Oryctolagus cuniculus: one gene and its partners. The protein of the gene in region 1 interacts with the protein of each later gene in a biochemical or structural test. Links are inferred from orthologs where the notes say so. Each region holds a gene or a part of one and is shown in the gene's direction. Other genes may lie near its edges.

Region 1 (4,232 bases):
TTAAAAATATTTGTATTAAATAAAATGGATCTTCTCTTGAGTACAAAAATACATACACAGTAGATGAGGCTTATTGGGTTGTTCAATCGTTCTATTTCCTTCTTTGTAGTCTATTGGAACTGTCTATACCATGTACGGTTAAGTCTCGCATTGTAATTGTAGACTTTCTTTATTTATTATTTTTAACAGTATTTGCGTCATAAATTTTGAAACTACGTTGTTTGACACAGAGATTTTTGTGACCAGTTTATCTTTCTTGATAAACTGAACAACTGTTGGTTCTCTTTAAAGCTTTTCATTTAGCCTTGATGTTTATAACGCTAATATTGTTGCAAGTGTATTTCCTTTGGTTCCCTCTCTGTGTTTTTTCCCCCTCCTCCCATCCCCTCCCTCTCTCTGTCCTTCCCTCCCTTCCTTTGTTTTTCCCCTTCTGGTATTTAACTGGTATATATCTTGCATTCCTATTTCTCCTTTAGGTGAAACTCTCATACAAACAACATATAACTGGATTTTTAAAAATGTAATGCTCAAAACAAGATATTTTTGTAATTGATCTTAATCCATAGTACATACTGATACCTTCATGTTTGTTTCTGACCCTTTTCTTCCTTTTTTATATTGTTTCTTCCCATTTCTGCTGTTAGATTTGCCGTTTTCTCTTTTATTCCTCATTGTTACTTTAATGGTTTGAAACTCACACATCCTATTCTTGAGTGTTTTTACCACCAAACTTTTTGTTCCGTGTGCATTACACTTCCAGCAAAAGTAAAACTTTGTTACTGTTTTGTCCATGGGAAATCTCTACATTGGCTGCCAAAGTTAGAGCTCAGAGTTTAGTGAAATTGGTTAAATCCAAAAGGTAGAATTCTCATTAAAAAAAAAAAAAACGCACTGCAACTGTCAGAATAGGAACCCGTGTTGGGCCGCATGTTTGGTCATTTCTTTTGGATACAGAACTTTGATTTTGTGATCAACAGCAACAAATTCTTATGCAAACCATTTCAATTTGCTTTGATCATTAGCTTGGGGGGGGGGAATGTAAGCCTACTGCAACCCTAACTATAGTTTCACATTCAGAATACTTCCAATAGAAACCATAACATATCACACAGAGCGTAACATAGTGGTACAACTCCGCACATTGGAATTCATCAGAATTTGTAGATTACATTTTATTACAGAGAAAGAACAGAGCGGAAGGGCATATGTCTAAATGTTCAATATTCGTTGACGCTGGCTGTTAGCATTTCTCACTGTCCTTTTGTGTATCCTTGCCGATTTCATCGTTTACCATGTAATAATGCTTTTGGGGAGCCCCCGCCCCCTCATTTGCCCAGAGCAGCTGCCGCCCAGCCACATCAAGAGGGCGGGCCCCAGCCGACGCAACAATCACTTCCGCCGCCGCAGTCCCCGCCCACTGGCTCCGTTGCTGTCTGACGGGGGAGGAGCCCGAGACCCAGGAGCAGCGGCTGTGGCAGTGGTGGCGGTCGGAGGTCCGAGAGCTCTGCTCTGAGGAGCCTGCGGTTGTCCGGACAGGGTGAGTGGAAGGCCCGCAGTTCAGCCCGGCGCTGGCACTTGGGGCGATCGGCGGGGACGGGGTGGGGTGGAGGGTTTGGGGCGGAGGGGTGAGGGGGATTCCCGTGAACCGCTTTTCAGGTTCGCCCCTCGGGAAGGGGTGGGGCGGGCTCGGGACCTGCCTGCCCAGGGAGGCCCGTGTCCTCCATCGGCCGCTGGGAGGGCCCCGCAGCCTCGTCTGCGGAGCCCCTTCCTGGCGGCTCGGTCCTCGCTCGAGTGGCTCCAGTGGCTGTTGGAGAGGAGAGAGTGGTGATCGCGACCCTCGCCTACGTCCCCTGCATCCCTCCTCAGTCCCCTTGGCGGTGCACTCCGTGTGACCTTTCTTCTCTCCCCACCCCTCCCGATTTCGCTGCCGTTTTGCCAAATGGTTAACTGGTGAAGGATTTCAGGTACAAATGGTCTGGGGGAAAGAATTGTCGGGGGGGGGATTGTTCTTCAGGAAACAACTGTACCCCCACGCGCCCTTTCTCCCTCGCCCCATTCTCCCCTTGCCATATCAGTTTGGGGCTGCCCTTTGAGCAGATAACGTTTTCCTTTCTTGTTTTATGACATCGCGCTCCCTCCCTGCACTCCAGACCTGGGTCGCGCGTGTGTGGCACACACACGCGCGCGCACACACACCCCTTTCCATTGCGGGTCCCCTCTGGGCCACTCCATCCTGGATGTTCTAGTGCGTGGCCCCTCTGCCGCGCATGCGCACTCAGGCGCGCGCACACCCTCTCACACACCCTCTCACACACCCTCAGACCGTCCGGTGCCTTCCCCCTTGGGCTCACGGCCTCCCACACACCCACCTCTAGAACGGACCCTTTGCTCCTTCAGTGCTCTGGCGGGGGACACACACACACACCCACACACACACACCCTCCAGGACTGCCCTGTTTCTGTCCTGGCTGGCCACTGACACACCTGCACACATACTTAGGCTTGTTCCCATACCCTTCTCATGTGCTCTCCTGCTCTCTGTGTGCCATGGGTGTGCATTGATAACCCTCTGCTGGGGCCCCCACGTACACTCACACCTAAGTCCTCCTCCAGAGACCTCGCTGCCTGCCACAGTGACACATACAGGTAGTCTGATGGCTGGCCTCCATTCCCGCATGCGTGCGTTCACACACACACACACACACACACACGAACACACACCCCGCTCTCCACTGCTGCCCCCTACCCCGCTGATGCCTGTCATGTTGGCTCACATGGACAGCTTTCCGTTGTGTCTCCCATCAGGGTAAGCTGACACTCTCCCTTGCCACCACACCCTTGCTTCCTTGCCTGCAACATAGACAGCCACTGAGTAGCTCTCCTTACTTCCGGAACACCCCCCTCTCCTCTGAACCCTCCGACCCCAGGCCTGTCATGTTCACATGCACTTCCAGGATGGATCTCCTTGTGGCTGGCAGTCAGTCAGCCCTGCTGCTCCCTCCTTTCCACCTGTCCATCTCTTCTGGACACACATGCAGGCACGCATGCACACACAGTGATCTGTATTTCCCACTCTTCCAAACTGCATTTCTCCTGTGCGTCTGCAGGGCTCAGAAAATTAAAAAAAAAAAAAAGCGCATTAAGCACACAGCAGTCTTTTCGCTTTCCTTAGTTGGCACACTTTCACAGTACTTCACTTACCTTTCAACTGTCTGGTCCTCTCCGCCCCACCCCACCCCCACCACTTTGTGTCAGGTTCTCTTCTAAGTCTGGCTTTTCTGCAAAGCTAATCTTGCAATCGTTCTGCTAGCATCAAGAATGTGGTCCAGGTCTGCACCTGCCACTCGCTGGAATGTTACTCCAGGCCTTAGAAGAAAGTGAAAGTAATTTTAAAGACCCCCCCCCCCTGGTGTTAACCTGCCTGCTGAAGTGAAAATAAATCTCCCAGCTCCTTTATTCAGATCGATTGGACTTTCCCATCTCTAAAATGCGTGTGTGTCGGGGGGGGTGGGGGCAGGAGCCTTTCTAGCCCAAACCAACTGTGTTGGGAACGCTCCTGTTCCACTAGAGCAGTGGGTCAGGAAGGTAGCAAGCCTGCATGGCACAGGCTGGCAAGAGGGAATGGGGTCCCATTGAGGCAGAGGGTCTGGAAGGAGGCATGCTTATATCAGTTTCAGGCCAAGCAGGAGCCAGCAGGACAGGATTGCCAGCCAGAGAAGGACGACCTCAGCAGTCCCAATGCACAGATCAACCCCCAGTCAAGTCACCAAGAGGAGCCGGTCGCCATTCTCCACCACTCGTCGTACTTGGGACGGCAGTGAGAACTCGGGGCCGAGTCTGAATGTTGATAATGAGGACTATTCCAGGTACCCTCCCCGAGACTACAGGGCTTCGGGGAGCAGAAGAGCCCTGGCTTATGGACATATTGACTGTTTCGGGGCAGATGATAGTGAGGAGGAGGGGGCTGGGCCTGTGGAGCGACCGCCAGTAAGAGGGAAGGCTGGCAAGGTGAAAGATGATAAGCTGTATGACCCAGACAAAGGGGCAAGGTCTCTGGCTGGGGTGCCCCTCCAGTTCTCTAGCTTTAACCGTGACGTGAGAGAAGAACTTGCGAAATTAGAGCCAGCCCCTGCCGACAGGTGCTCTGTCGGCAGAGCTGAGTTCCTGCCGCAGCACTGCCTGGCCCCTCACAGATCTGCCGAAGGCAAGGGCATTGCCCACGGTGATCGATT
Region 2 (4,298 bases), about 13 Mb from region 1:
CTAAGGAATTGGGATTTGGAGACAAATGTGGAGGGTCAGAACTTAGATAGTGATGTTGATGACTGAGGGTAGTGGACAAAGTCTACGAATGTTGCTCATACATCTCTCTTTCTCAGAGTCCTTCTAAAGTGGAATTGCCCACTCACCCACTCAATTACATTGCTATCTTACCTGTTTTGCTTCTTCACAGTTTTTGTCAGATTTCAGCATGTATTGCTTTAAATAGTTTATCATAGGACACAAGAATATAATTCCTACGAGGATAGACATAATAGAGTGCTTTCTGAATGAGTCCACTTTTATTTAGAAATTTGAATATGCTAATTCTCTGGATACCACTCTGTGACAAAATTCAGTAATCATATTTTTTACAAAAGCTAATAAGGGGCAGAAGTTGTGGCTGGGAGGTGTGGACACTCCTTGGGACACTGGCATCCTGAATGGAAGGTCTGGGTTCAAGTCGCACCTCTGCTTCTGATCCAATTTTCTATTGGTACACAGCTTGTGAGGCAGCATGTGATGGCTCAAGTACTTGGATCCCTGAGATTTGGATGGAATTCCTTTGGATCCTGACTTTCACCTAGTATAGCTGGGATGGATTGCTGTGGGCATCTAAGAATGAAAGAACTTTCACTCCCTTTCAGATGAAAACAAATACATATTATTCAAAAAAATTTTTATTTTATTTATTTGAAAGAGAGTTACAGAGAGAGGCAGAGGCAGAGGCAGAGAGAGAGAAAGAGGTCTTCCCTCCGCTGGTTCACTCCCCAAATGGCCGCAACGGTCAGAGCTGAGCCCATCTGAAGCCAGAAGCCAGGAGTTTCCTCCGGGTCTCCCATGCGGGTGCAGGAGCCCAAGGACTTGGGCCATCTTCTACTGCTTTCCCAGGCCACAGCAGAGAGTTGTATCAGAAGTGGAGCAACCGGGACTCGAACTGGTGCCCATATGGGATGCCGGTGCTTTCGGCCAGGGTTTTTAACCTGCTATGCCACAGTACCGGCCCCAAATACTTATTATTTTTTAAAAAGCTGATAAAAATAAATTTTCTAAATTTTCCAATTTTCCAAATTGCTGCCCCAGAAAATAGTAAATCAGTATGGTTAAATATGTAACTGTATACATCCAAGACATTGATAATGAAGTCTGAATTAAAGGAGTAAGGTAAAGGAGTCTATTTCTAAGACAACACGACGAACTGAACAAGTGGGATTTGGTAGAGATACTGTAGTTTCTGAAATGATTAGAGTCAGAATTTGCAGAAATTTACTGATTCCCTGTCCTGGGCCCTTTATATCATTATCCAACTTCTCATCTGGGAGCTAATGAGATAAAGCATCCCAGCGCTTGCTAGAGAGGCACAGGAAGTTGCCTGGAGGGAAGGGAATGGGGGTGGCAGCGGCAGAAGCCAAAGCTTCCGCCAAACAAAAGAGGAAAGCACTTCCGGTCACGCCATCGTCGCTGCCTTCTTCGTCAAGGTGAGTGTAAAGAAGGGGACTGATAATTCTCACAAATAAATCCTGCTCCCTTCGGGGAAACGTTGCTTCTGGCCTCAGCATGAGGTGGAAACAAGGTGTATTCATTCTCAGAGTACAGCGTGTGAAGGATGCTTCTGACGCCTGTGGTTCTGATCGCTTCACCATCTCCTCTCCTCCTCCTCAGGGGAAGGGAGGCCGGCACCCGCCCCCTGCCCCCACCCTTGCTTCTGACATTCGTGGTTCTTTTATCCTCCCGACTTCTGGTCATGCTTCACATCCCCTCTTTATCCCGGATCCTTTTCTCCGGTATTTCTGGTTGTTCCCTGTCCCACAAATCTCTCTCTTCCACTAATCCGCAACTTCCGCCCCGCGCCCTTTTAGCCCCAGACCCTTGGCGAGCCCCTTCCTATTCTCTCAGCGGACATTCTTCCTTCCTTCTCTTTCCATCCCAGAATGAAGGGAACTTAAGAAAGTTCCAGGAATATGAAATTAAAAGATGCAGTTATTTTGGTACACAAATTTGATTCGTAGGTTTCTTTCCCCCCATAATACGCATTTTCCACGAACTTTTTGAAGACTCGTATTTTACTCCCTTTGCTGGCTTTCGGTCTTTTACTGTCTCTCCCCTGCAGAGGCCATTGCGTTATACATTTTCCAAAAGCAAGTATGTCTTAAACGTTGAGTTTGCTTTTCTTGTTCTTAAAAAAAAAAAAAAAAGAAAAGCAAAGAAGCAGAAATTGTAGAGCCTGAAGAAGGCATCGGGACTTGTTCAAATTATGTCTGTCTATTTATTTATTTCTCTCAACAAAATTATGCGCCATTTAGTTATTATTGCACTGGTTTCAACCCTCTAAGTGTTTGTATTGATTGACTGATTGATTGTAGTTTTTTTTTAAATGTTGGCAGACAGAACTCCCAGAGTTTTGGAGGAGCAAACATAATGGGTTTTGCGTATACGTTGGTGTCAGCTTTAGAGATGGAAGCTTTCCCATCTCCTGTAAAACCATTCTTAGAGGAGAAGTGATTGACAGGCTTGAGGTCCAATCCTCAATTTATTACTTCAGGAGTTAACTTTATTATACAAATCCTTTTCTGGTCTCTAGGGGCAACATTGAACAGTAAAGCTGGCAGATTTTTTTTAAAGATGGTTTCCTAGGCTCACTTTACGATTTTTATATAGTCTGCCTGTTGCAATGGGAACTTTGTCTTTTCGTGTCTTGAAATGTGAGGTGTATTTTTCTGTTCCATGTGTTATGCAAAATTTATCTTGGAAGAATATCAACTGAATTTATTCGCTTTTCTTTACCCATATGATCATTAAATTTGTGGTAAGGACAAGGTTTTTGTCAGGCTTTATGAAGAATTTAACCACAGTTCCCCTTGAATAAGCAGTTAACTTCTTCCTCCTCCTGTAACTCATGTGTTGTGTTTGACAGAATGAGCGATGACTCCCTTTTCTAGGGCAGAATTTCAGTTCATTTAGATAGAATAAACAAATGAGGTGGATTTCATGACAGCAGAACACTCAGGAACTTTTTAAAACGGTATTAGCAAATGTCTCTTTACTCATATTATTATGCAACATTTATATGTCTTTCACACTGTTTTCAACCCACTGTGCACCCACCCATTTGATTTTGTGTGTGTGTGTGTGTGCTGAATAGCTTATATGTCAGACAGTGTTCTCAGAACTGGGAATACAACAGTACAAAACAAAAGTAGATGTTATAGCTGAGAGGCAATAAATGAATGCAGAGATCTTCAAAAAGTTCACAGAAATAGGCATTATCTTTTAATTTCCTTTTCCAGGAACTTTTTCAAGGCACCACTTCTATAAAATAAATTGTGATGGGGGCGAGCTGTACTGTTTTAGATAAGATGGTCAGGGAGCTCTCTCTGGTAGAGTGGCAGTTCAGTACAGACCTGAAGGAAATGAGGATGCAAATTATGCAGATTATTATTGGAAAAAAATACTTTCATGCTATGATCTCTCATTTGTCATTCACTCTGCTTCCTACATCTCTTTTGCCATCCCTGTGGTCCTCTAGTGGCCACTTTGCTGCATAACTTTAATTCAACACTACCAACTCAGATAACTCAATCCATCGCAATTCCCTGTATTCTCTGCCACCTGGCTAGCTTCTTGCTACCATTGAGATGAATTGCCACTTAACAGTCCCTTTAGGAAGGAGGCTGTATCTATATCTCTAGCCCCACCTCACCCCCAGTTTGTTTATTCCTGGTGCATTGTGTGCTATTCTATAGTAATATTTACCTATCTTTTTGACTGCTATTACCACTGTGTGTTCATAATATTTTGCCCATAAATGTTTGGTGTGGTAATTTGAAATTAATCCAGTGCTTGTCAGTAAGAGACAAACTTTTAAATATAGTTTCTCCACTAATGTTCACAATTACTCTCTAAGGTCATTAGTCATTGTTGTCATTTTGCTGATGATAAAACCAAGACCCAGAGGTCTGGAATAACTTGCTAAACTGCTATATTTCATGCATTTAAAGTCCATCAAACACTTAGTCCTGGTCAGGTTCTCTCTATCTCTCTGTTAATGAGAAATAGAAAAATATACAGACTATTTTATTGTTTTATAAGACATAATCTGTGTGCAGAAACTCCAGTTTTTGGAAACTTCCTGTCATAGATAGGAGTATCATGTACTTGAATTACATGCTAATTGATAAATATTAGGAGCCATGAAATATGACTCTACCCATTTTTAATAAAGATTTAAACAAGCAGAAATCGAAAGAAGAGTACAATGAGCACTCATACTCTGAACCTAGAGTCAGCAATTATTCTTTTTA
Region 3 (3,214 bases), on another chromosome or scaffold:
TCATTTAGAAACAGCAGAATGTTATCTGGCTCACAATTCTGGAAATGAGCAAGTTCAAGGTAAAAGTGAAGAGAGCCCATGGCGAGAGGACGAGGAGGAGAGGACCGGTCACTGCATACTGACCCGCTTGGGGGAAAATGCATTGCTCATTTGGCAGAGCCCTCGTCACCCCCCAGCACTATTAGGGGACATGAACTTTGCGGGACACTCTAACCGCGGCAGCCTCTCATTAAGACTGCCGCGAGGGGCCCCTTCGGTGGATTCGGTGTGGGAGAGCGACTGCTCCCAGCTAGCATTTTGATCATACTGCACCACAGCGTGGATTAAGACTTCACGGTTAGCACTGGGGTGGTGTGGGTGCCATTATCAGATTGCATTTTCATATTGAATTATAAACAAAAATTTTATGTGACTCTCCTTCAATGGAATGTTAATAAGGCTGTGCTTTGGTGCTGTTATTCAAATAATGGGCTCTGAATTGCTTTCCGCGGAATATATTTGCATTAAAGAGGAACTCAATTTAATTTAGTTCCTAGAGAAGTTTACCCATTTTCCCGGTAGCTTTAAAAAAAAAAAGACGGGGAAATTGAGTTTCCTTGCAAGTCGAGAAGAAACACACTTGCTAAAATCTGTAGGCGCGCCAGCAGATTGCTGATCGCTCGAGTTAATGGAACGACGCGTTGCACAATTGAAAATGCATGCAAACTGCACACGTCGCGGACCCCCTGTGCGCTTTGCTACGGATCCCAGTGGCTGGGGAGTTTGCAATGAAGGCGTCTAGGAGATGCACGTTAGCGCAGCTCGCATCCGCGAGGCCTCCGAGGAAGTGGGAATGTCTCCGGGTCCTGCCCCGGGCGTGGCTGCGGGCCCAGGGCCGTGCCCGCGGGCGCCGCGTTCCCCGGCCCCCCGCCGCGGGCAGTGGCCGCCAGCCCCTCGTGTCCCGCACACCCCGGAGGACACGAGGGCGGGCGCCAAGGTCAAGGACGCCCTGCGGCTCGCGTGTCTCGACCTCCACGGTCTGCGCCGCAGCGGGCGCTCCAGCCTCCCACGCCGTGGCGGCCTCGGCCACTCCATCCACAAAGGCGCCCGATGCTAAACCTCTTAATACCGCCCGTAACCGCCCCGCGCCCGTGCGGGCCTGAAATTAGCCGCACCCTAGAGCAGGAGTTTGGTGGTCTCTTTCTAACCCGATTAACCCATCACTCCCACCAGCAGCACCGCGCCGCCCTTCCGCAGGCGCGGCTGCGCATGCCCAGCGCCGCCCCCCGTGACGCAGCACGCACGGGGACGCACGCCGCGTGGCCCCGCCCCCTGGCGCCTCGCGCCGACCCACAATCCCCGCCGCTTCCGGCCGTTGCGGCCCCCGCCCCGCTGCGGCCCCCGCCCCGCTGCCTGGAGCCATGTTGCAGAAAGCCCGGAGCCGGGGCCGGTCCAGTTCCCAGGCCGACAGGGACGGGGGCCGCGGCGCCGCCGAGGAGACGCCGAGCACGTCCCGCGGGCCGGGCGGCTCGCAGGAGGCGCTGAGCGCCCCGTCGGTGGGGCCCAGGACTCAGAAGCAGCTGGAGCTGAAGGTGGCGGAGCTGGTGCAGTTCCTGCTGGTCAAGGACCAGAAGAAGATCCCCATCAAGCGCACGGACATCGCGAAGCACGTGCTGGGCGACTACAAGGACGTCCTGCCGGACCTGCTGCGGCTGGCCGGCGAGCGGCTGCAGTACGTGTTCGGCTACAAGCTGGTGGAGCTGGAGCCCCGCAGCAACGCGTACATCCTGGTGAACACGCTGGAGCCGGTGGAGGAGGACGCGGCGGTGCGGGGCGACCAGGGCACGCCCACCACGGGCCTGCTGATGATCGTGCTGGGGCTCATCTTCATGAAGGGCAACGCGGTGAAGGAGACGGAGGTGTGGGACTTCCTGCGGCGGCTGGGCGTGCACCCCACCAAGCGGCACGTGGTCTTCGGGGACCCCAAGAAGCTGCTCACCGAGGACTTCGTGCGGCAGCGCTACCTGGAGTACCGGCGGATCCCGCACACGGACCCCGTGGACTACGAGTTCCAGTGGGGCCCGCGCACCAGCCTGGAGACGAGCAAGATGAAGGTGCTCAAGTTCGTGGCCAAAGTGCACAACCAGGACCCCAAGGACTGGCCGGCGCAGTACTGCGAGGCCCTGGCGGACGAGGAGAGCCGGGCCCGGCCGCAGCCCCAGCCCAGCGGGCCGGCCGCCACCTGCTGAAGCCCGCGGCGCGGGCGGGAGGGGCGCCCGGGGGTGGGTGGGTGGGTGGGCTCGCCTCCCCCGGCCCCTGCTGTCTGCTCCCAGGCCGCCGCCTCGAAGCAGGCTTGGGGGAGCGGCGGCTTTTGCCCCCACCCCCGGTTTAGACTTTGCCGTCGTGTTGTTATTTTGTATAAAATCTTGCTGGCTTTGTAAGACTAACCGGAGCGCTGCGTGCCGTGCCCTGGGACAGGTGTTTAAGAAAGCGCGTGAGCGCAGGACCTCGGTGCCGAGAATATAAAAGCAGAGAAGTGATTTCACGTCTCCTACCCCCATTTGTAAGGAAAATAAAGCTGTTTGCAAAGTTGACCGTGCGACTAGAACCGTCTGTCCTTGTTAGAGTAACACGCGGATTTCACAGGCTTCCTGCCCCGGGCCGCGGCCGTGACTCCGAGCGATGGCCTCCTGTGCCTCCAAGAGGGTTTTGGGCTCACGATTGTTACTCAGCTGTGTGGCTCATCGCTCAGTTCCATTGGGCGGCTTTTCTTCCCTCTAACTACGTAGCCGTTAACGATAAATGCTGTATTTTAAAGTGGTTAGTCATGCGCGTTTTTAAATCTCTTGCATATTAATGTTCATAGCGTTCTGTAGAAGTTGATGTAAAAAAAGTATTTGCGTAGCTTCACGGTGTGAAATGTGTGTCTCGGTCAGTGACCCACCTGCCTGCCGGACGGCCCAGGTGTGTGAACTGACGGGGCCTAGCCTGTGAGGTGGCCGATGCCGGCGTGAACAGGGAAGTTTACCTAAGACTCCTGTCACAGCCCCTTTGTAAAGTTATTCAGAAAGAAGATTTTTTTTCTTCTTAGTCCGGAGCTGCTGCTTCCTGTGTGTGCCGACTTTTAACTGTTCTCAGCCGCTCCTAGGAAAGTCGGGCCTCTGTCCTAGCCTGACTGCGCTGTGTGGGTCTGTGGAAAGGCATCTGGTGCACGGCGAGTGCAGCCCACGAGGAG

What was found.
Region 2: the proteins of PJA1 (region 1) and MAGED1 form a complex in vitro, tested with the Homo sapiens proteins (2 studies listed by BioGRID, with this or other methods). The link is inferred for Oryctolagus cuniculus from reciprocal best matches to the Homo sapiens genes PJA1 and MAGED1.
Region 3: the proteins of PJA1 (region 1) and NSMCE3 form a complex in vitro, tested with the Homo sapiens proteins (2 studies listed by BioGRID). The link is inferred for Oryctolagus cuniculus from reciprocal best matches to the Homo sapiens genes PJA1 and NSMCE3.

The regions. Positions count from the first base shown.
Region 1 is NC_091453.1:49,098,626-49,102,857, reverse strand, and holds the start of PJA1 (E3 ubiquitin-protein ligase Praja-1), read left to right. Parts: upstream 1-1,411; 5' UTR 1,412-1,537; intron 1,538-1,773; exon of another isoform or gene 1,774-1,964; intron 1,965-3,671; 5' UTR 3,672-3,738; coding exon 3,739-4,232. UniProt on the Homo sapiens protein: Has E2-dependent E3 ubiquitin-protein ligase activity. Ubiquitinates MAGED1 antigen leading to its subsequent degradation by proteasome. May be involved in protein sorting.
Region 2 is NC_091453.1:36,245,623-36,249,920, forward strand, and holds the start of MAGED1 (melanoma-associated antigen D1), read left to right. Parts: upstream 1-1,438; 5' UTR 1,439-1,475; intron 1,476-4,298. UniProt on the Homo sapiens protein: Involved in the apoptotic response after nerve growth factor (NGF) binding in neuronal cells. Inhibits cell cycle progression, and facilitates NGFR-mediated apoptosis. May act as a regulator of the function of DLX family members.
Region 3 is NC_091443.1:11,538,260-11,541,473, forward strand, and holds NSMCE3 (non-structural maintenance of chromosomes element 3 homolog), read left to right. Parts: upstream 1-1,344; 5' UTR 1,345-1,400; coding exon 1,401-2,228; 3' UTR 2,229-2,573; downstream 2,574-3,214. UniProt on the Homo sapiens protein: Component of the SMC5-SMC6 complex, a complex involved in repair of DNA double-strand breaks by homologous recombination. The complex may promote sister chromatid homologous recombination by recruiting the SMC1-SMC3 cohesin complex to double-strand breaks.